Alligator mississippiensis: one gene and its partners. The protein of the gene in region 1 interacts with the protein of each later gene in a biochemical or structural test. Links are inferred from orthologs where the notes say so. Each region holds a gene or a part of one and is shown on either strand. Other genes may lie near its edges.

What was found.
Region 2: the proteins of RAF1 (region 1) and PHB1 form a complex in vitro, tested with the Homo sapiens proteins (2 studies listed by BioGRID). The link is inferred for Alligator mississippiensis from reciprocal best matches to the Homo sapiens genes RAF1 and PHB1.
Region 3: the proteins of RAF1 (region 1) and RASD2 form a complex in vitro, tested with the Homo sapiens proteins (2 studies listed by BioGRID). The link is inferred for Alligator mississippiensis from reciprocal best matches to the Homo sapiens genes RAF1 and RASD2.

What each region holds. Positions count from the first base shown.
Region 1 is NC_081835.1:30,640,132-30,647,833, forward strand, and holds the start of RAF1 (RAF proto-oncogene serine/threonine-protein kinase), read left to right. Parts: upstream 1-4,507; 5' UTR 4,508-4,662; intron 4,663-7,702. UniProt on the Homo sapiens protein: Serine/threonine-protein kinase that acts as a regulatory link between the membrane-associated Ras GTPases and the MAPK/ERK cascade, and this critical regulatory link functions as a switch determining cell fate decisions including proliferation, differentiation, apoptosis, survival and oncogenic transformation.
Region 2 is NC_081827.1:168,772,448-168,779,732, forward strand, and holds the start of PHB1 (prohibitin 1), read right to left. Parts: upstream 3,205-7,285; 5' UTR 3,110-3,204; intron 2,555-3,109; 5' UTR 2,520-2,554; coding exon 2,429-2,519; intron 1,197-2,428; coding exon 1,035-1,196; intron 257-1,034; coding exon 114-256; intron 1-113.
Region 3 is NC_081827.1:101,484,881-101,492,953, forward strand, and holds the start of RASD2 (GTP-binding protein Rhes), read right to left. Parts: upstream 3,205-8,073; 5' UTR 2,426-3,204; intron 1-2,425. UniProt on the Homo sapiens protein: GTPase signaling protein that binds to and hydrolyzes GTP. Regulates signaling pathways involving G-proteins-coupled receptor and heterotrimeric proteins such as GNB1, GNB2 and GNB3.

The DNA of each region.
Region 1 (7,702 bases):
CAATGGCTGATTTTTAGATTGTAGGATCCTTAGGAAAATAAACTGCCCTCCTCTATGTTGTATCTAAACAGTTACACTCTATTTAATAAAATAGTGAAAGCCTAAGATCTATCTACAGTATTTGATTGTAAAGATGTTGCACATAACTGGGAATAATAAAAGATAAAGCCTCACCAATTCCCTTCTGTGCCCCCATGATGAACTTATAGGCAGCCACAAGGTCGCCTCTCAACCTTCTCTTGCGGAGGCTGAAGGAGCCCAGGTGCCCTCGTCTCTCCTCATAGGGCTTGGCCTGCAAGCCCTTAACCATACGAGTGGCCCTTCTCTGGACCCTCTCCAGGTTATCCACATCCCTCCTGAAGCGCGGCGCCCAAAACTGCACGCAGTATTCCAACTGCGGTCTGACCAGAGCCCGATAGAGGGGAAGTATCACTTCCTTGGTTCTGTTCGTCATGCATCTGCTGATACACGATAAAGTGCCATTAGCTTTCCTGATGACTTCGTCACACTGACGACTCATGTTCATCTTGGAATCCACTAGGACCCCAAGATCCCTTTCCGCTTCCGTGCCTCCAAGCAGGTCATTTCCTAGGCAGTAGGTATGCTGGACATTTCTCCTCCCTAGGTGCAGCACTTTGCATTTCTCCTTGTTGAATTGCATTCTGTTGTTTTCCGCCCATATGTCCAACCTGTCCAGGTCTGCTTGTAGCTATTCCCTGCCCTCCAGCGTGTCCACTTCCCCCCACAGTTTTGTGTCATCTGCAAACTTGGACAGAGTACATTTCACTCCCTCGTCCAAGTCGCTGATGAAGACGTTGAAGAGTATCGGTCCAAGAACCGAGCCCTGCGGGACCCCACTGCCCACACCCTTCCAGGTCGATACCAACCCATCCACTATGACTCTCTGGGTATGACCCTCTAGCCAATTCGCCACCCACCGGACTGTGTAGTCATCCAAGTCACAGCCTCTTAACTTGTTCACCAGTATGGGGTGGGATACCGTATCGAAGGCCTTCCTGAAGTCTAAGTAAACGATGTCAACCCCTACTCCTGCATCCAGGTGTTTTGTAACCTGGTCATAAAACGAGACTAGATTAGTCAGGCATGATCTACCTGCTACGAACCCATGCTGGTTTCCCCTCAGCATAATTTTTCCTGCCGGGCTCTTGCAAATGTGAGCCTTGATAATTTTTTCAAAGACTTTGCCTAGGATGGAGGTGAGATTGACTGGCCTATAGTTGCCTGGGTCCTCATTCCTCCCCTTCTTGAAAATGGGGACCACATTGGCCCTTTTCCAGTCCTCTGGAACCTGGCCCGTGCGCCACGAGTGTTCAAATATTCCCGCCAGTGGCTGCGCAATGATGTCAGCCACTGCCTTCAGTACCCTCGGATGGAGCTTATCGGGCCCTGACGACTTGAACGCATCCAGTTCCTCCAAGTGCCTCTGCACCATCTCAGGGTCTATGCTTGGTAGTCTGGCATCCTGCTGCTGCCTCTCTACAATCCCAGTGAGAGCCTTGTCTTGCCCCTCGCTTAGGAACACTGAGGCAAAGAACTCATTGAGGAGTTCAGCCTTGTCCCCCCTGTCCATCATTAATTGCTTATGCCCATTTAGTAGAGGTCCTATTCCACCCTGGGCCTTCCTTTTACTCCCTATATATCTAAAGAACAATTTTTTGTTATCCTTAACTTGGGATGCCATCCTCAGCTCCATGGTAGCTTTGGCCTGTCTAACTGCCTCCCTACAAGCGCGAGCAGAGGAGGTATGCTCCTGTTTAGTAATCTCTCCCCATTTCCACCTTTTAGATGCCCCCCTTTGGATTTGTTAATACAAAAAGAATATAAAAAGGGTACAAATAGCCATGCTAGTGCAATTTTTCTTATTCAGTAATAGTTCTCTTGAATAGCTGCTTGGTTTTAATATTTTGATTTGTTCAAGTTGTCCTTGCAACCCTCTTTACCTTGGAGTTTTTTGTACCTAGTTTCACAGATACTGTATATTAAACATGGCAGAGGTGAGGCACACCTCTGTAAAGGTAATCTATTTTTAAACTAAGTAGTAAGATAATTTTGACTTAAGTACTAAGTTTCATGGAAGCTTTGTGAGAGGCAAAGGTCTTTGTGGGTAGTATCTTTCATTGGACTAACTATGTAGTCAGGAGGGACACAGACAAGCTTTTGGGTACTATGTACCATTCCTCAGGTCTCTAAGAAAAAAGCAGACAGCACAGCTAAATAGCAGATAATGCATGTTTAATATTTGTTACTAGTGGTACCTTTTGTTTTTGCCTTATGTATTCCTTGTTCATTCTTAGGCCTGTTAATTGATTTTATGTAGAAAAATTATAAATAAAAGTTACATAATTTGTTAAGAACAATGTTTTGCAAGTAATACTTTCCATGTGGGGAGCTCAAAGCAATTTACAAACTAAGTCTTGCAATGCTAATCAAATGAACTGAGGCATGGAGAAGTATAATACCAAGCTCTTATAGACAATAGATCTCAAAGCATTTTATGAAAGTGGTCAGTATATCTTATTCCCTTTTAACAGATGGGGAAGCTGACATACCAAAAGATGAAGTGACTTGCCCAGGATTACTTAACAGATCAGTGGCAGAGACAGGAATAACCCAGCTACCCTTAGTTTCATTCTAATTACTGACCACACTGTTTCTCATAGCAGCACAGAATGTTTCAGACAGACATCACACAATCTTGACATATATCTGAACTAATAACAGTATGAGTTATGCACGTATCAGATGAGAAATTCTGTATTGTACTGTAAACCCAAGCAAACACGAACATGAAATAAACTAGAAGTTACTAGCATTCATTCTGGATTGATTTATCTCAGAAAGTTACTTTGTTCTATTTCCTTGTTCCTTGTTTCTTATGTCTTGAAAAGGCTCTATTTCTTTACAGTATTATTTCACTGTTTAGCAGCCTAAAATTTGATTTACTTTCTTCCCTAACTCTATTAATTTGTTCAATCACTATGGTTTCATCTCACTTTCATAGCTTTAATCTTCTCTTTGTTGGAAATTTAAAAATGAATTAGCAGTCTGACACCAATAGTATTCTCCTTCCCTGAAATCACTTACCCTTTCTTCTTTTTTTTTTTTCCATGTTGTCATAATTTTACTTGCATTTTACATTTCCTTATTTAAAGTGAACTGTATATACTCTGGCAAAACCTTCCTCACAGACAGAATTGCAGCTAGTGTTATACAGACATACCTAGTTTTAAGTTGTTTAAGCATTCATTATATAATGTTTGTTTCTCTGGGCCGCATTTTACAGTCAGATATGTGCGTATAGCTCCTCTTAAGGCCATATGGCTTGTATACATGGATCTGAATCCAGAACTGGACCCATTTGGTTTAAAAACAGCATTTTAACAAAAAATACTGATTAAAAACTTTGGAGTACAACTCACATTTATAAATATCAGTTTTTGTTGTTGTTTATAATGATGTTGTTTATAAATGTGAACTGTTCTTCAGGTCTATTAAATGTAACTTTTGGTAAAATTGTGTGTTTACACCTAATGGCCTCAGTTTTGGCTTCAAATGCACATCTACAAGTCACAAGGGCTTAGGGAAGCTGACTGTGCATATCTGACTGCCAAATTTTCCGTGTGTTTGTCAGCATCTTGCAGCTGGTGACACCACATTGGTTTAATTTGTAGTTTGTCTTTTCTTTTATAGAACTAGGACTGTGGCAATTGTAAAGGGAGAATTGTACTTGTCTAAATGTGAAAGCTTTGCCAGTTATTCAGGTACACTATAACACTGGATGGACAATTTTGTTCCAGCAAGAGATCCTTTTTTGGTCTGATTTAAACCTTTTCCAAACCGATGTGAGCTAAACTAAGAAAAGGCCTTATGCTGACAGAAACGAGTTCACACACAGACGTGCAAGCAGAATTTAAACACGCTTTAGCTTGTATTGCTGTAAGCTTCAGGCGTAGATGTGCCCAAAATGAGTCCGGGGAAAAAAATCTCCCAGATACCCTAGCGTCAACCAGCTACCAATTAACTTAGTAGAGGTTGCCCCACCCATAGGCACAGCTAGGATTTTGAGAAGTGGGGTGGCAGATGCTGCAGAGGTGGATACAACCCACTGCTCCTTCCCCAGGGTGGATCCAGGAGAGACGCGAGGGGGTGCGGCCACGGACGGGCGCCCCTGCCGGGTAGCACGGGACCCTGCGGGGCGCCCTGAGCTCGGCGCTGCCTTCACTCCTCCCTCCTCTAGCCTGGGGGTGAAGGATGACTGGAAGGGAAGTGGGGAGGTCCCCGGGGCGGAGGTGCCCAAACCCCCGCCGGCTCCAGTCCCGCGCCTGCCCAGCTCCCGAAAGGCGGCCGCGCAACTGGGCAGGGCTGGCGGGTGCGCGCCATCGATGGCTCGGCGTTCCGCGGGGGGAGGGGGAGAGGAGCCCTGCGGAGCGCGGAGCGCATCGATGGGCCCCGATAAATGTCTGGCTCGGATTGAGGTCGCCATTTTAGATGGAGACCGGGGCGGGCGCCGAGTGAGGAGCGGGCGGAGGAGCGGCGGCGGCGGCGGCTGCGGCCGGGGGCAGTGAGCGCGGCCGGGGGTGGGGAGCTCCCTGCCCCCGGCTGGCGGGATCCCCCAGCCCCCGCTGGCCGGAGCCCCCGGAGGTGCGTGTGCGTATGCGCGCGGGGCGCGGCCGGAGCCCCTGGCGGCGGGTCCCTGCCGGGCACGGCCGCGGGGCGGGAGGGGGCCCGGCTCGGGTGGGGACGGCAGCGGGCCGGACCTCGCCTAGCCGCGGGGCCGGGCGCCTCTGTCTGGAGCGTCTCGCTAGCGTGGTTGCCTCTCGCTGAAGCCGGCGGCTCGGCTCGGCTCGCCTCGGCTTGGCCGGCCCGTTGTCCTTGGCCGGGCTCTTGCCGTCAGCTTAGCTCTGCGCCACGGAGCGAGGCTGTCTGTGGAGCAGGACCGTGGGTCGTGCCGTTGCGCAGAGCCCTGCCGACTCAAGGGCCCGCTGTCCACAAGTTTGATATGCCTCTAGTTAAAGCAGCGTTTCGCAAGGGTTGCAACCCAAAAGTGGGTCGCAGGAATACATGAAAGGGTCGCAAATAATCATGGAAGAACATAGAAAATCACAGATCTTCTTCGTTTAAAGGAGAAAAATGTGGGAAACCGCAGCTATCTCCTTGCAGGCTGGCAGGGGGCTCGCTACTTGAACCATTTACTGGGTGGTGACTGGCCATGATGTTTACAAATGAGTCCTCATACAAACAAGGTTGAGAACCACTGAGTTAAAGCATTCTCTTGCCTAACGTCTGTCGCCCATCAAGTTCTCAGGGACTCCTGCCTGGTCCCACCTTCTTCCTCAGTAGCTTTTGAGCAGTACCCAAACAGTGTAAGGGTCCCCCAGTTCAAGTTGCCCGAGCGTGTGTCTTGGAGGCACTCAGAAGCGTGCAGAGAAGAAGAATGTACTTTGCTCTCCTCCTTGCATGGTCTGATGGCTAAAAAATGTCTTGAGAGAACCTTTGTAAAAGGCTATTTTAATTCCTTTATTTTGGAAAGCCTGCAAATGTCTAATGGATTCATAGAACTGAACAGATACCAGTTGAATAATTGCTAGAGAGATAAATATGCTCACTTAGGGCTTGATGGCAGAAAAAAGTATATACGAATTAATTATTGGTATGACTTTTCAAGTTGCTTGGTTATGTTGGTTAAGTCTCTACCTCTCCTTCAGAACTGAAGTGAATGTAGTTTATCTTAACAAATTCAGTGTCTTTGTGTAAGCAGGCCATAGAAGATACTGTTTGTCCTTAAACTGACACATTTGTAAATTCTTCAACTGTTTCATGAACAAACCTGAACTGTTGTACAGTTTGTGGTGGTTACATGGAATAGCTAAGACTGTTGTCATGTCTTGCTCAAATTGGGACAGTGATGCTGGCTACATCTGAAGTACACAATTCATGCAGTTGATGTCTTCAGCACTAGACACTTTATTGTGCAGGAGAAGTAATTGACCCAACTGAAAGAGGAAATGCTGAAAGTACTGGGAAGAAAATGTGCACTGTTTTTTTCCACCTAAAAACGCATTCCTTTTTATCCACCTTTTATTTATCTATTTATTATATGCTTTTTTTTTCTCTTTTGAAAAATGAGCCTGTTGAGTTTAAATTTAGAAACTATGGCATTCTATCTTAAAGTCTACATATGCCGTAGTGGCGCACTGATAAAGGTTTTCTTGGCTGATACTGGTAGTCTATTATTAACCAACTGTGTCGGCCGCTCCGATAACTGATTCACTTTAAGATGCAACACATTTTGACGTACTGACACAATTTTTTTTGGCATGTTCCAGCATCACATGCATTAATGTCCTGGTGCTTAAAAATAGTGGTGCGCTGATGCATCAATCCATATTGTATTGGCACCAATAAGAGGTAAAATTGACATTATTGCCAATTTTTTGGGGGGGCTGATATGGCAGATAATGTCACTGATAAATGCCATGTGCATATGCGCAGCTGCAGCACGCGCTCAGCCAGCTCGGCAGTGTAACAAAGGGCTCTCTCTGGCCCGGTCCCCCATCAGTCTGCCCACCTGTTTGGGGCTAACCACCTGCCACACTTTCCTGCCATGCCTTGTTGTTTTATAATTGGTTCTTATCAGGTGGAAAGCTGCCCATTCTTGCCCTGATGCCAGGGAGTGCTCTCTGCAGCTCTGATCCTTCCCTACACTGCAGCCCAAACCTTGCAGATGGCATCCAGGTGACATACTCCCAGTCTACAGCCAGACCAAGCTTAGCCCTCATTGTCAGGCCTCATACATGCGCCCATACCTCATCTCACTTAGGGCCTTTCATGCTCCACCCCCTGTCAGGGTCTCTTTCACGCATCAAGAACTTATACTGCCTTGCTCCCTTTTAGAGCGGGTGCATTTGGCCATAGGTTTTATCTAGCACACACCTTGGGTGGCAGACATCACACACACCGGGCTCCACATCTTCTACCCCCTCACTGGGGCTTCCCTCCTTGGTGGGAGCTCAGGTGGCTATAGCCATGCATGGCCCCAGCTGCTACCCACAGTGATGTGGGGGCTAGAGTTATTGAGGCACCCCAGCCTACTTTCTACTGGGGTGGTATCTGGTCTGGTATTTTTGTGGAGGCTCCCACACTGCTGGGAGCCCCACCAGGCCACTCATTCTCAGCAGGGTGCAGTTTTAGGTCATGGCCAGGACCAAGAGCCTTCTGCAGATATTCTCATACAGCAGCTCAGCCAAGCAACATTTCTGCCTGGGCTGCCAGCAGCAATCTGCTCAGTTTATATAAGCAGCCAGTGTCTCAAAATGGCTGCTGAAATCAAGCACCTGCTGGCTGTTTGGCTTAGCCTTTAAAGTGGCAGGCACCAACAGTGCCTTGCCACAGGAAGCGTGCAGAGTAGCATCTTGCTGATAAGTCTGTTGGGGAGGGAAAAGTTGGGGGGGGGGGGCAACCCATCCCCAGGAAGAGTCTGATGCTGGCCCCAGCCCACCGCAGCAGCCTGCCCTTACCCCCACGCACGGGGGGGGGGGGGCACGTGCCCCCCATGGCTCCTCCAGGGGTGCCTGTAGCAGCTCAATTCCCCAACCCTCGCTCCCCGGATGAGTCTGTCACGACTCCGTCCCCCACCCCACTCCGGCTGGGCAGCACCTGCCCCTGCCCCATTCCCTCAGCG
Region 2 (7,285 bases), on another chromosome or scaffold:
CAACTCTAGCCTGGACCACTAAATGTCCCATGCCAAATTAAGTCTCACTGTTCAGAAACATGAAGCAGCAATACACAATTGGCATAACTGCACAGCAGCTGTGCTGTCCTTACCACAACAGACTTCAGGATCTCAGTAGTGATGGAGGGCAGTACACGTTCATCATAGTCCTCCCCGATGCTTGTGAAAATCCGAGGTAACTGGTTGGCAACTGGTCTGAACAAGATTCTCAAAGTAATGTTCACGTTCTGCAGGTCTGCAGAGACAGATTTGTAACTTAGAGGCAAAGCAGAGGGACAAGAGATATCCAGAGATAACTCTCTCCCTAGTAGCTAAAGAGGGACAAGCAGATTCAGAGTTTTGCCACCTGGCATATTCAGTGGCAAGCTTCACTCCTGCCAGTTTGGTTTTTTTACTGTCCCCCTTTCACCAAGGGATATGATCCCCCAGAAACATAATTTAAGTGCTTTCTTCCATGTGGGATGGGGAATTATTCATCTTTTCATGCAAATAGAGAAACTGTTTTTAAGGGATGGCTGATCAAACTGAAGCAAGCTCCCTTATTACAGATCAGACTAGTTATAGAATAGCACAGTCCATTTCATGGCACATGCTGGATCGATCTCAAGCGTTTGGGGGTCCCCAAAGAGATAATACAATGCTCCAATCTGATGGGTTTTGGTAAAGAAATAGACCATGCAAAATCAAGGCCTGCCATTTTCTTCCCCATCTGTTAGCTGACTTTACTAAGAAATCCAACAGCAACAAAACACTCAAGAACTTGTGATCAGAGGTATTCCAATGAACTACCATTTTACGTGGCTGTAACTTTTTAATTACAGGGGTCCTGTTTCCTTAAAGCACTATCTTGACAGGGGCCTAAGAATTTTTTTTCTTCCCATTACCTTCAGAGGGAGGACAAAGATCTCAATATTTTTGCTGGATTGTATTCTAATTAATAAAGGCACTCAGAGACCATGGCGAATGACATCAATGTTGCTCTGGTCCACTGGCAGCTATGAGACTACACTTACCTTTGCTGCCAGTGATGACAGGAACATTACGCGGGCGAGAACGACAGTCGAAAATAATTGGTTTCTGTACCCAGGGAATGAGAAAGTGTGTGCCTTCCCCTACTACCACATCTTGAACGCCTTGGAGTCTGTCAAAAATAACAGCTCTGTGGCCCGCATCAACTAGAAAAAAAGAGCATAACACGCACAGCTTAATGACAGCAACCTATCATTTTGGGAGCATGCATTCAAAGTATATTTTCCAAAGAGCATACCAAAAACTTAGCAATATTGCTTACGCTGTCTTTCCCTCAGGGGGCTAATGAATGGCTTGCCTTAAAACAGTAGTGTCAAACACACCTGGCTTGCAAAGTCCACCACCTGGACACCAGTGCTGTCCCCCAGTCTGATCAGACCTACACAAGGCACATCATGGCACAGGGCCAGTTAACCAGCTTGATCAGGCCCATGGACCCCCTCCTCTTCTCCCCCTCCCAGCATACCTGATCTGGCAGTTGCTCTAGCCAGTCTGGGAACTGTGCTGCCTGTGACATGGATCCCAGAGTAGCCAGAACAGATGCTGTGTGAGACACAGTCCATCTGAAGCAGCAGCCAGCCTGCTTGAGGTGGCTGATCAGGCTAGACTGTACCACATGGTGCCATTCTGCGATGCAGGGCACACACGATGCTAACTCCAGCCGGTCTAGGATCTGTGCTGCATGTGGAGCTTGCAGGCACCGCATACAACACAGGTCCCAGACTGGCTGGAGCAGGTGCCATGTACAGGGCAGTCACGGAACTGCCAGAGCAGATGCCAAGTGTGGTGCAGTCTGGCTAGGGTGGCCACTGCATGCAGCACTGCTGCAGCTCCAGACAGACTGTGCTGCACACAGCTCCCATTCTGACCACTCTAGGATCTGCACTGCATGTGGTATATGTTCCAGACCAGCTGGAACAGCTGCACATTAGGTATGCTGGGGGAGGGGGTCCATAGGTCTGATCTGGCCTGCAGACCAGTCCCGTGCCCCTCATCCAGCCCACAGGTCAGATGAGTTTGACAACCTGAATCAAAGCAAACAAGCAAATCAGCAAAGGGGTCAAGGATAAAAGTTCAAGCCCTAGTGTAAGAGGTGCTAAGGGGCAGAGAAAATTAAGATCAAGGGCAAGAAAACCAACCCATTGGATCTCCCAGTCCTTAAAGTATCATAAGAACTAGCCTAACCGTACCCTTTTCACAAACACCTTGGTTGCATTTATTTTAAGGAAACAGAAATTATTTCAGCACAGAGCTATTTCCAACACACTTTGGAATCAGCAAAGCCCCCTGATGTGTTTACTTCCCTCTAACTTTACACCTGACTTTGTGAAGTTGAACATGTCAGCAGAAAAGGAAAAGCTCTGCCTCTTCTGCTCACCGTTATAGAGAGCAGAGTTGAGAATTCCTCCTGTAATGGCCAACCCCAGGCCAATTTTCCCCACAGTCTCAAACAGCTTGGAGGCAGCCATCTGTCAATCCAATGCCCGTCTCTGAAGACTCACACCTGCAAAAACCCAGCAACATTGTTAGAGCAATTCTCAACCAAGAGACCACAGCCCCCAGGGGTTCCTCGAGCTCCGTGCGAGGGGGCTGTGGGGTGCCACACAATGCGAGCGCTGTTAGGTTAAGACAAATGTGTTTCACAAGATAAACTCAAGAGATCTATTTTTCTAGTGACTGAAACAAAAAAAGTGAAAACAGAGCTGGCACTTTCCAAGAGGGCCTTGTGTCCATCCAGAGCTGCCCCATGTCTAAAAAGAAGCGAGAACAGCTGCCTCGGAGATGGATTAAGTGCCCCGGGGCCTTCCTGCCTGCCCCAAACCACAGCCCCCTGGATCCCCATGACCAGGGGCAGGTCTGAGCAAAACGAGGAGAACCAGCCCTCACGCTCCGCCTCACGAGGAGCCTCTTCCTCAACACCACTCCCTCCACCTCCCCGGCCACCCCCGGGCTGCACCCTCTTCCCCAGTCCCCCCAGCGGGACTCCCGCCCCCCGGGCCGGGCACACTTTCCCGCCCAGGCTCGTCCCCCCGCAGGCCGCGGCACGCCGCCTGCTCACCTCCAGCCGCGACTCTGACCTCCACATGAATCGCCAACCACCTGAGATGGCGCGCATGCGCAGCCCCAACATATTCGCTTCTCATTGGCTCCCGCAGGTCCGCGGCATGCTGGGACTGGCAGTTCTCCCGCCCGTTCCTCCACGCCCCCGGACTACCACTCCCAGAAGGTGTCGCTCCGCGAAGGAACGTCTTCTTCTATTGGCCGGCGCCACGCCACGCGCAGGGCCCGCTGGGAATTGTAGTCTCGCCTGGGGCAAAGCCACGTGGTAGTGCCAAAGAGCCTGGCGGGGGCTCCTGGCTGCCCCGTCTCGTGGCCGTGAGCCGGGCGCCAGAGCACCTTGGTCCAGATATATATGGGGGGTCAAGTATATGGGGGGATGCTGCCTGAGCTCTAGGACCTGGGAGCTAGCCTGGGGTGAGGAGAGGGAGGCTGCCCCCCCACTTGTAGCGCTCCACATGGGACCAAGCCCTGCCCTGGGCTGAGCCAATGCCACGCTCCCACCTGTGCTCGTCAGCCTAGCCCTAGCCAATGTGCAGCTTCTAGCTGGTCTGTTCTGCTGCAGGCAATGGGGTGCTGCTTTGCTCCCTTCACCTCCAGCAGGAACTGCCCTGTTGAAGCTTCCCTCCCACCTGCCCAGAGGGCAAGGCAGGGGAAGAAGCAAGAAGAGGAACTCCCACTGGAGGGGAGGGGATCAGAGCAACACCCAGGTGGCCGCAGCTGACTGGGTGCTGCTCTGCTTCCCTTGCTGCCAGCAGCAGCTTCTCCGCTTTTGCCCTGGCTGCGCTACTCTGGGTGGGCTGGCAGGAACCTTCAGCAAGGTGGCTCCTGCTAGAGATGAGGGGAGCAGAGCAGCACTGGGAACAGCCTTCCCAGAAGCCAGGGGTGACGCATAGGGCATGCATGTGGCTACACGGGCACCCCCTCAGCGTGGTAGTGCACCCCCTAGAAAAAGGCACCATCAATCGCTGCTCGCCACCCTGCCACTGACACTGCCGGTGGCATCTGTGGGGGGTCTACGATTGCTGCTGGCCACTGCCACCACTGCCAGCAGTGCCTGCAGCTGGTTGCCGATCCCTGGTCGGCGCTCCCTGTCCACCGCCAACAGCACTGGTGGCATCTGTGTGAGCTCTGCTCTTACCACCACTGTGCTCCTGCTGCTGCTGCTGCAGCGCTCCTGCCGCTGCCAGTGCAGCCATGCCCCCCCAGCTGCCGGGGGCACGTGTCATTCATGCCAGAAGCTGAGCACACTAGTCAGGGCCTGGACCAGCAGGCGCAGGTGGAAACGCAGTGTAGGCTGCCCCAGCAGGAGCCAGCAGGGCTCAGCCCCATATGGAACATTGCAGGGGCAGCTGTGGGCCAGATTCAGTCAGGTGGTGGGCCAGATCTGACCCATAGGCCATATTTTGCCCATCTGTGGTCCAGACCCTGCAGCCTGCATGGGCTGGGGGCCCCAACAGAGTCATGCTCCAATTTCCCTCCCTTCCAGGGAAGCCCTCTCGTATTGCAGCACCCCCATGTGCCCTGATCTTAATTCTCTGGAGGGTAAATGGAGCCCCAGAAAAGGTCATGGTGCCTTCACTGCCTCAAAGTCTTTCTGTCTAGTTGGGAAATTGCTGGCCCTAAATCTAGTGTACTGCTTACTTTGCTGCTTAGATAATTGCAGTGAGAAACACTAGATCATGGGGATGAAGGAACAGGGGCTCCCTGTATATATTAAAAGAGCAAAATCATAGGTCGTTGCAAATGTCTATCCTGTTGCTTCAGGAGCGTGTGCCTGTCATATGTGCCAGCAAACACTTGGGCCTGGGATGTTTTGCCAATCCAGTTCTAAAATCAGGACCCGGTTGCATGTTGCAGTATTGCTGGAAGGTTTATTAGAAACTAGTCTAGATCTGTTCTGGGATGGAAAGAACTGAAACTGGCTATAAGGGAGCTGCTCAAAGAGCTTATAGGAAAGTAGGGCTAGAAGGGAGCTCACAAGGTCATCTAGTCCAGCTCCCTGCTCAAGGCAGGATTGTCCCTGACTGAACCATCCCAGCCAAGTGTCTGTCCAACCTGCTCTTGAAAATTTCCAAGGATGGAGATTCCACAATTTCTCTCGGTGGCCTGTTCCAATGCTTGACCACCCTCATAGTCAGAAAGTTCTTCCTAATCTTCAACCTAAACTAGTTCTGTTCCCTATGGCCACAGAGAAAAGCCCATCTCTGTCCTCTCTGTAATTGCTCATTACGTATTTGAGGACTGTTATCAAATCCCCCTGCAGTCTTCTCTTCTCTAAACTAAATACCATTAATTCTTTTAGCCTTTTCTCATAGGCTGCCAATAATTTTGTTGCTCTATGCTGGATTTTTTCCAACTGTCCACATTTTTGAAGTGTGAGGCCCCAAAATGGACAGAGTACTCCAGGTGAAGCCTCACCAGTGCTGAACTGAGTGGAAGTGTCACTGCCCTTGATTTGCAAGATAAAGGGAAAAATGGCCAAACTTAACCTGAACATTGATGGCCTGTTTGAAAATCTGCTCCTCTGTGTCCCAGTGGGTACTGCTGGATGCTGAGCACCTTTGAAAATGTGGTTGTTATATAGGTACTTAAATAGGAGAACTCTTTGGAAAATCTGGCCCCACCCATGGGTGCTGCATGCTGGAAAAACTGACACTGAGCGTTTTGGAAATCTGACCCATGTGGGCCACAGATCCTAGAAAGCACTCTACAGCCATAACCTAATAGAAGAGCACAGCTTCACAGTGCTCCCATTGCACAATAAATTATCCTTCATTATATGAGGGTTCAAATGAAGGTGCTCCAAAATGGAGTGCCTTCGTTAACTTGTGTCTGCTCTGGCAGCTGGGCTGCTGCAGCCCAACCCCGCCCCCAGCACTGTCTCAGGATGGGAGTGGGGGAGAAAGGATGGGAGGGAACCTTGGATTGGAGTTTCCTATCCATCCCTACTCTAGCACAGGCTGGGCAAACAGCAGCCCAAGATCCCTCCCCTCCCTTCTCCCCACTCCCATCCTGAGACAGCACCAGGGCAGGGAGAGGGAGGGTGGGGCTAGGAGAAGAGGCTGCAGAGACAGTCTCTCTTGCTGGATCAGCTCCAAATTGGAGCTCGATCCCCCACCCTCCTGGCTCAGCAGCTAACATCTGTTGGGTTGGGAGGATCAGTCTAACTCTTGGTGCTTTCTGTGAAGTGCCATGAGTTAGACTGGGGAGCTGCACTTCTGTTTACTCCTAGAGTCTTCCAGCATAAACTGGGAAGGGGCACCAATATGCAGAAAAAGGTAATGGTAGAAAGGTGTTAAGAAACTGGTGTTTTCATAGTGGAGGGGAGTGAAAGGATGTTTCACAGAGGAGAGAGGGGAATGCAAGATGTTCTTTAAAAGCAAAGCAATTTTCACAGTAGGGACCATTCTGAGATGTAAGAAGACTTCGTAGGGCAAGCAAGTTATTAAGGTGCTTGGCTTGTAAGTCTTTAAGGATGCTTTTTGCATTGGATAGGTGGTGACTGGGAGATAGATTGAAGTCCAGGGTGATGGACAGCAAGAGATCAGGCAAATAGGTTAATAATTAACCCAGTAACCTTACTAGGGGTGGGTGAGCAGGGCACCAGCCCCAGGTGCTATCTTAGAAGGGGTGCAAGATTTATGTTGCCCAGGGCACAAAATTTCCTAGTTGCACCTGAGTTAACCTTCTGTGGTGTTTGCTGCAGGTGACAGTGCCTAGGAACAACCTTAATGTAGGCTGACCAGAATTTTGGGGGCAGGAGTTAGGGACTGTGCAGTTCTTGTACCATAAGACTGTGGTGGGCTTTGAGGACTGAGGAGAAGCTGACTTGGTAAACAATGCTGGGATATTCCAATGGGGGTTGTTGCAGGTGGGTGCTCAGGAGAGTGCAAAGGAATTTGGTATTGGAAGGGTAGAATATTGCAGTTACTGATAACAAGGGAGCCATGATACAAAGGTGGCTGGCACATCTGGGCACTGGGCCTAGATACATTGCCTGGGGATGGCAGGGGAGGGAGATTTGAAGCAGGTGAGAACCATGTGGCATGAAAGAACACAGCCTGGAGATGATATAGCACTTGGCACAACTGAGTGGTTTTCAGATCTCGGCAGCTGGTAGAGTGGGGCTGGAAGGAAACACAGAGCCATCTGCTGATCTAGATTGTTTTTACCA
Region 3 (8,073 bases), on another chromosome or scaffold:
GAAAGAATAGTGGTGAGACAGACACTCCTAAGCTGATTTTCATAGGAAATACGTAGGGCCAGACTTCCAAATGAACCCTGCAGGTTGTATTCACTTTGGGTACTAAACATTTGAAAAATCTGGCCCTGATTGGGATGCTGAACACTGGAAATATGAACCCTTCTGGAGAGTTAAGAACGGACTTCTGTTCTTCAAGATGAACTAAAGGCCAAAAGCAAACAAGTGACCTGGTTGAAAGAGGATTGTTTAGGTTTGGATCCAGTTGGGGAAAAAAAAACCACATCAGTTTTGTCTTTGATGCACTGGTTTTTAATACAGCTCTGTTTGGGAAGTGTCACTTTATTGATAACCCAGAGACTAAACTACCAGGGTCTCTGCCCTGGGTGGCAGTAGTGACATGTGTGGCAATGGTAGCAGCTTCTGTTGTTGCATCTCCTCTAAGTGGATGCCTAGGGCTGGTACTGGATAACCCATTCCTATCAGCTTTCCCTCCTGAAATCAGACAGCTCAGCTTTCTTCACTGAAATCAATCTATTATCTGTCTGGCTCACTCAGGGGGATTTCTGATGCAGCTGTATGCAGTATATGTTTTAGGATGAATATGAAGGAAAAATTCCTAGCTGTCAAGGCTAATAATCCACAGAGCACTGTGTCTTGGGAACCAGGGAAAACCCTATTAGTTTAGGTCAGTTAATAAACTAGATAAAGCATGGTAGAGTATTTTACTGGGAAATGCCTCATATACTATCCACTTTTTATTTCTATCCAAACATGCAGGAGGAGCTCCATTTCCCCCCCTTCCCTGGGCATGAAAGATAGAATAAATTAACAACAGCAACATCCTTTGCATTTCAATAACACTGAAGTTTTCAAAGCTTTTAAATAAATTCCTCCTTCAGAATGAGAGGAAAGTATTACCTTCATCCCTCATTTATGGATGGGGAGACAAAGGCACAGAGAGGTTCAAGGGCTTCTCCAAGGTCAAACAAATCAGGGCTGGGTACAAGACCTGATCTCCTGACTCTCTCACCCCCCATCCTAACTCTAATCCCTAGACCACAGTGCCTCCCCTCCTGAGCAAGACAAAACTGCATTGCATGTGCACACAGAGAGGTACATCTCATTCATAAGGCTTTGCCTGAGGCATGGCTGTGCCCTTAGGGTCAGAGGAAGAGGTAGCTGCAGGCAGATCTTCCCTAACAGAGTCAGATTTTATTAATTTAAACTGCAATCTTTTGGTTCCCTTGTGGTTACTCATTGAAGAGCCTCCCGCGCTTTCCTGCCTGCATTTTGTCTGGGGCACAGTAGAGTCTTTCAGCCCTTTGATGCCTGTAACCACCATTTCTCTAATTACCTCCATTGTAAGTCTGACTTTTAGGGTGCTGCAGTACCAGGAGTACGCATTTGCCCTTGCAGGCTCCCTCTTTGCACCGCCACAGTAAAGCAAACCATTTTCCTCTCCCACCCTTAGAAAGAGGCTAAATTCAAGCCCCCCTGGGGACGCAGAGGAGTCCAACATTGGGAAAGATTAAAGGCAGGAAAGGGGAAATAGAAAGGGACCACATGGGCATGGACTAAATAAAATAAAATCAATCAGAAGGGAATGAGAGGAACAAACAAACAACCACCAGCTGGTTTTAATCTACATCCTCCCTTCAAGTTTATTAAAGGTTTAAGAATAGATTAGTTCCCAGCTGTCCCTTTAACTCTGTGGACAGACTTAGGGATAACAAACCACTATATATGACTTGCACTTCCATAGGCCTTTCCAGCCCAGGGTTCAAACTGTTTGGCAAAGGTAGATAATTAATTTTACCCCCCCCTTACACAGAGGAGGAAACTGAGGCGAGCGGTGATTAAAGGACTCTCCTGAGATCTAAGAGTGAGCCAGTGACAGGGTGAGGATGAAATACCAGGTCTCCTGACTCTCATCACCCTGCCCTAATATTGAGCTAGGCTACTTTTTGCAAATTGAAGCCAGGAAGTGCATTCCTGCAGTGCCAGAGATTTAACTTAAATTCCAGTGAGGCGTTGAATAACCTGAACTTCTGCACCAGATCAGAGAAACAGAATGAAGATAGTAAACCTGCATCTAAACTTGCCCCGCAGAGCATTTACATTTTGGTTTTCAGCACCTGAATGATGATTTGGATATATTCCCCTCTCCTGACCATCCATTAAACATATTCCAGTGTGTCACTGTCCATAGTAACCAGCCAGTGTACCTCTCTCTCTCTCTGTTTAGTAGCCCTAAATGGTCTACTGCATCTAGCTAAAAAGAAGCAAAGCAAGCTGCATATAACAGACCGGGCAATGGTTAGAAAAGTCCTGGACTCCCTTTCATTTTCATGCACACCACTATTAATTTCTGTAGGGTGTTTGTCTCCCGGCTACATTAATGTCAGGTTCGCTGTCACTCCCTTACCTTTCTTTCTTTGGAGGAAAAGTCCTGAATTGTAGTGCAGTTCCTGCAGCTGTCTGGATGATTTTTTATCAGAGGCTGTTGCTGCTGCTGGAAAAAGCTGCTGTTCTCCAGATCCCAAGTGGCTGAGCTGGGCTCAGTTTTTCAGCATCACTTTAGCACCCTAACTGGAGGGAGAAGGACTGGAGGGAGTGCTCCAGGGGATGGTCCCCCGGAGGATATTTACTGGATCAGAAGACTGACATGATCCAAAGTCAGGTTATAGAGCCACAGCAGCTTTCCCCCTCTGGTGAGATGTGCTCTTCTCCTGACAGTCTCAGTTCACGCTAAGGAAAAAAGCTGTCTCCTACTCCCACTTGCTTTTCTTGCAACTTGCAATTCATAGACTTGTTGGGGTGAAAGGGGCCTCGGGTGCGACATCTAGCCGTTGAGGCTAGTGAGTACATTGAGCCGACCCATACTGTTTTTACATAACCTCAAAATAATAGATAAAGGGGAGTAATTCACAGTAAAAAGGAGGGCTTGAAAATGTCTTAAGACAGCAGATTTGAAAGTGCGCCTCTCACTCCTGCAATAGAAAAAAAGCCAGACAGAAAAAATGAATAGATTCTTTTTCCTGATCTGAGATTTCTTTTAAAGTGTTCTCTTTCCCATCCAGAAGGGGCTTTTCTTTTCTCTATATTTTATAATTTCTCTATTGATTCTTCCTCCCTGCCTCTCTCTCCCTCTCCCTCAGTAGCTGTTAAGTTGCAGGTTTTCTTTCTGTAGGACTCACAGACAATTGGCTCACTCCTCCTTCAAAGTCAGTGTCAGAGACAGTAGAGGGAGGGGTACAGACTACAGAGGAGGTGGGATCTAGTGCTTATTGAAAGCCCTTTTTTACACGAAGTTCTTGGGCACTCCAAACCAGGAAGTTTCTTCCTTCCTACAGGAGGCAAGCATGTGCATATGCATGTGCATATGGTGAGTGAGTGTGTGTGTCCACGTGCACGTGTACTTGCATATGTGTGTGTGAGAGAGAGAGGTAGAGAGAGAGTGCTATGATTCCTGTTATTGTACAGGCTGTAAGTTCATGAGTTTTTTCAAACCACAGTTTTTCCCTTCTAATGTTTTACTGTTTTCTTTTAAAGAGAGTTGGGCTGATTCATTAACTAAATAGAGGTTTTCTGTCACTAATTTCTTGTCATCTTTTTTTGAGATATAACAAACTCTTGCCACCCGGAGACACTGCAGCTGTTAGGAATGCAGTTCGTTCTGATTAAGAACTAAGAATAAGTCTAAAAAACATTTAATGGCTTACAATTATTACTGGGTGACAAATGTTTTTTTTTATTTTGGTGGGCAAACATAAAACTTGGGAAAAATACTGATTTAGATAAAAGTGAAACAGATTGTTTTGGGGGTGTGGGGGTGGGGTTCAACATAGAAACTAAAAATATTCATTTTGGGACAACCCAAAACACTTCAGCCACTTCAAAATGAAATGTGCTCTTTCACGTGGTGGTTCTTTGACCCCTTTTGATCATTTTTTTCTTAATTTTAGAACAATTTCTAAATTTAAAACATTTTCATTCCTGAAGTTTCACTTAGAAAATGTTGGAATGAAATGATTCAGCATATCCAAAATGAAATATTTCATTTAAAAATGTAGAAAGGAATCCTGGGACATTTAAAAATATTCTTTACTCCCTTTTCACCTTGTCATGACCCAAGGGTATGATTGTGTGTGCGCTTCGGCACTGCAGAATTATTTCCCGCCACGGGGAGCTTTCTTTGCACGGTGCAATTCTCAGTTGCATAGAGAAAACCCCGGTGCAAAGTAGTTCCCGCCATTCGCATGCAAATTTGTGTCCCACTATTGGCTGTTTCTAAATTATTCCCACGTGGCGGCTAGCGATTGGCTTGCTAGCCGTATAAGAGGCTTGAGCGGTTTCCGCCCAAGTTGGAGATCTCCGGGGAGGACCTCATTTAGGAGGACTCCACATCCATCTCGTGAAGAACTCTAAGCGCTGTGGAGCCTAACAAACCCAGCGTGTGCCTTAAGAAGGATATAGGGGCCTGATCAACCTCTAGCCTCTCCCGTTGCCGCCAGATCCCTCGACGTACCCTTCCCTGCGCGCTCGGTCCACGGAGCCTAGCAAACTTCATGTGTGTGTGTATCCAGAGCTCTTTCCGGGTTTAAGAGGCTCGAGTTTTCTATGGGTCTTGTTTGAGCGAGTTTTGTAACTGCAACTTAAGCGAAGCTTTTTCCTGCCTGCACCGCAACCATCTACGGTGTAAGTAACATCATCTTTAATCAACCGCTACGCATCCGTGCCTAATTCTAGTCCGCCGTGCCGAATTTCCCGACCCACGTGCCAGGGCTGCTGGCCACAGCCCACCGCGCACCCCCAAAAGCCTCGGACTGCTCCCGGCCCGCACACACCTGAAATTATTCGTCAAATTTAATTCAAATTCATAACTAGTTTCAGTTGCCCTGTCACTCCTTGTTTCAGAGAATTTACTATAAATTGAAAAATTTCATTCAAATCGGTAACTTCATTTTGACTCAGGACCAATACATGAATCCATGTTCTCTCATAGACCACACTCCTAAAGTTCCTGATCTCTTCATGCTGTAGGAAGACCGCTTTCTACATAAAATGATTGTTTATACTGTCCCTACCACCATTTTCCTGCTCTGTTAGGCCCACGCACCTAACCTGTGCATAATCAGTCATCTCTGAAGCAGGTGACATCTGGTCACGTGTACCCATACACTGCTGTATGTACATGGCTACTGTTTGCCAGTCCCTTCTAACTCCTTTATAATGTACAGTAATGGGTGGTGAGTCACTGCATAAATTCAGCTCCCTTCAGAGGGATATTAGGACTTCTTCAATGACAGTCTCTTCCATTGAGTCAAACCTTCCATCTTGGCACACAGTGTGGTAGGGTGTTGGTAGCTCAGAAATTGTTATTTAATTGTCATAAGACAACCCTGACTTCTGGTGTACCAGATCAAACTGACAATGGGCACCTCTACATGAGACACTTCACTGCACAGTAGAGAAAATTACTGTGCAATAAGCATCACCATCTACATGCGCAGTTGCTTACTGTGCAGTAATTTGCTCTACTCCGCAGTTAATTTGCTACCTGCAATAGCACTTAGTAAATTAACTTCAGAGTAGTTACTGTGCAGTAAGGCATATGTAGCTGGCCGAGTGGGAGCAAATTTGCTCCCAGTAAGCCAGGCAGAAGGGGGCAGGAGATTGCTCCCTGCCCCTGGGAGTTGCATGCTGCCGGGGCAGGCTCTGGTAGAGACGCTTGGGATGGGACAATGTCCCCCTCCCCTGACAGCAGGGAGTTCTTGGCTCCAGCTCCACAATTGCTATTAGGGAAGTCTCCACATGCAGTCCAGAGCTGGCTGGAAACTGTCCTGGTCTGGGACAAGTCCCAGACCTGAAGCTCTTTCCCAGCCTCATTCCCTGATCAGGCAAGTAAGGCATGGGGCTTGGAAATAGCTGTGGGGGAGAGGTAGATCCCAACCCCTCCCCTGCAGCTCTTTCCAAGCCCCTTGCCCCTGATCAGGATGCTGGGGCCGGGAGTTCCTTGCTGCCAGGGCAGGGAGACATTGTCCTAGCTCAGGCTTTGCCATTGGAGCCCATGCTGGCAGCAGGCAGCTCCTGGAGGCAGGAAGCAATCTCCCAGTTTCCCCCAGAAGACAACTGTCTCCTGGCCTTGTTCCCTGCCAGCCCCTGGACTAGCACCCAGAGGGAGCCTAGAGCTCCCCATGGCTGCTGCAGGGAGACAGAGCAGGGTGGGAGCAGCCCTGTTGAGGCTGCTCCTATTGGGAGCAAATCTGCTCCCAAATGCCTGCATGTGTAGATGTCTGCCCAGGCTGAGTTTACTCTGCAGTAAATTACTGCAGAGTAAACCCATCCAGCAGCATTTGCACATGCAGACATGCCCAATGAGTCAGTAGCAACTAAAAATCTGTCAGATCTTACAGCTATTCATTCAGTGGTCTAAATAAAATGAGTATAGGGGCCTTCAGCTCAGGTCTTACTAGACAAGGATTGACATCACAAAGTCAGCATGATAAAAGAAACGTCACTGGCAGTAGCAGCAAAGTCAAGAGCCAGAAGGCTATGGTGAATTAACTCTCCTTTCACTCAAGTATGCCTATACTAAGCATGTTTGAGGGATTAGTCTGTTCTGGTGAGGCTCCACCTCACTTATCAAAGGAAGTCTCTGCCGTGTAGCCAGGATTCCAGTTATGTCACTATCCTGATATCTAACCTTACTAAAACTCTATTTTAAACCAAATGCAGGTCCAGAAGAAATAGATAAAAGCAAGGTTACAGCTCAAAAAACTTGCCTAGCCAGGTCAAAACCAAAGACTTGGCTATCTTTTGCTGAAGGCACTCAGATACCATAACGATAATTGCTTGGTGGGAATCTAGATGGGATAAAATGTCCTCCAAACTATGGGTTTTCAAAGTAGTTCCTCCAAATTATACCAAGAGATAATTATGGGGGATAGACAACATCAAGTGCATTGGGATCCACTTAATATCATCTTATGATTAATGAAATATGAACTATTCATACAAGTAAAGCTAATAGTTCAACACAAATTCTTCAAACCATTCGAAGAATGTCATTTGCATTTTTTATTTATATTGTTGTTTCTGTTCATAGCTCATCAAGTCATGAGAAGAGGAAGGATGGCTCAGTGCTTTATGTACTCACTTGGTGCTCAGGAGGTCAGACTTGAAAAACTCTTTGCCTCTCCACAGACTTCCTATGTGCCTTTGGCCACATGATTCAGTTTTACTATATTTCACCTTTCCATCTATAACATGGGAATGATAGCACTTCCTTATCTCACGTAGGTATTATGAAAATAAATGTACTGAAGATCCTGAGGAGCTCAGATGCTACAGCAATGGCAACAGTCCTTTAAGAATGTCAGACAGATAAGCTGTGATCTAGAAAGTAAAGTTAACTAAAGTGTGTAAGGAAACCACATTTCATGGCTCTCTGCTTTCCTGGTACTGTTTAATGGAAGTACATTCAGTATGGTACAGAGGTCCACATTAGTGGGTGGATCTCAATGAAGGAAGTTAAGGTTATAGCCAAGATGAAATAAATATATAACTCTCTCCCCCCAACCAATTAGAGAACATTACTTTCAATTTTTGTCTCTCTAAGACTAGTTGGTGAATGAGGTCAGCAGTTTCTAAAGAGAGGTCTATCTAACTCTTCTTGGTCATAATGATAGTGTCTGCAATGTGGATTTCTAGCCTGGGGCTAAAGTACAAGGCATGGTGGGGAAGTGCATAGTTTTTAAGAGAGTTAATTGTAATTGAACAAAATCAGCAGCCATTTTACTTGATAGGGCCTGCAAAATAACTTTTCTTTTTTCCAGATACTGGCTGGCCATAAGTCTGAACATTAGGGCTGTGCGAGGCTTCAGACCGTGCCTCAGATCCGGAGACGCTTCGGACACTTTGGCATCCGAAGCAGCATGTCCAGATCAAAGTGCTGGCTTCGTTTGGCTTTCCGGAAAAGCTTTGGAGCAGCTTCATAGATCCGGCCATAGGCTCTAATGGGGAACCAATGAAATATCTATAACTTTGTTGTTTTTTGTCTGATTTGGATGA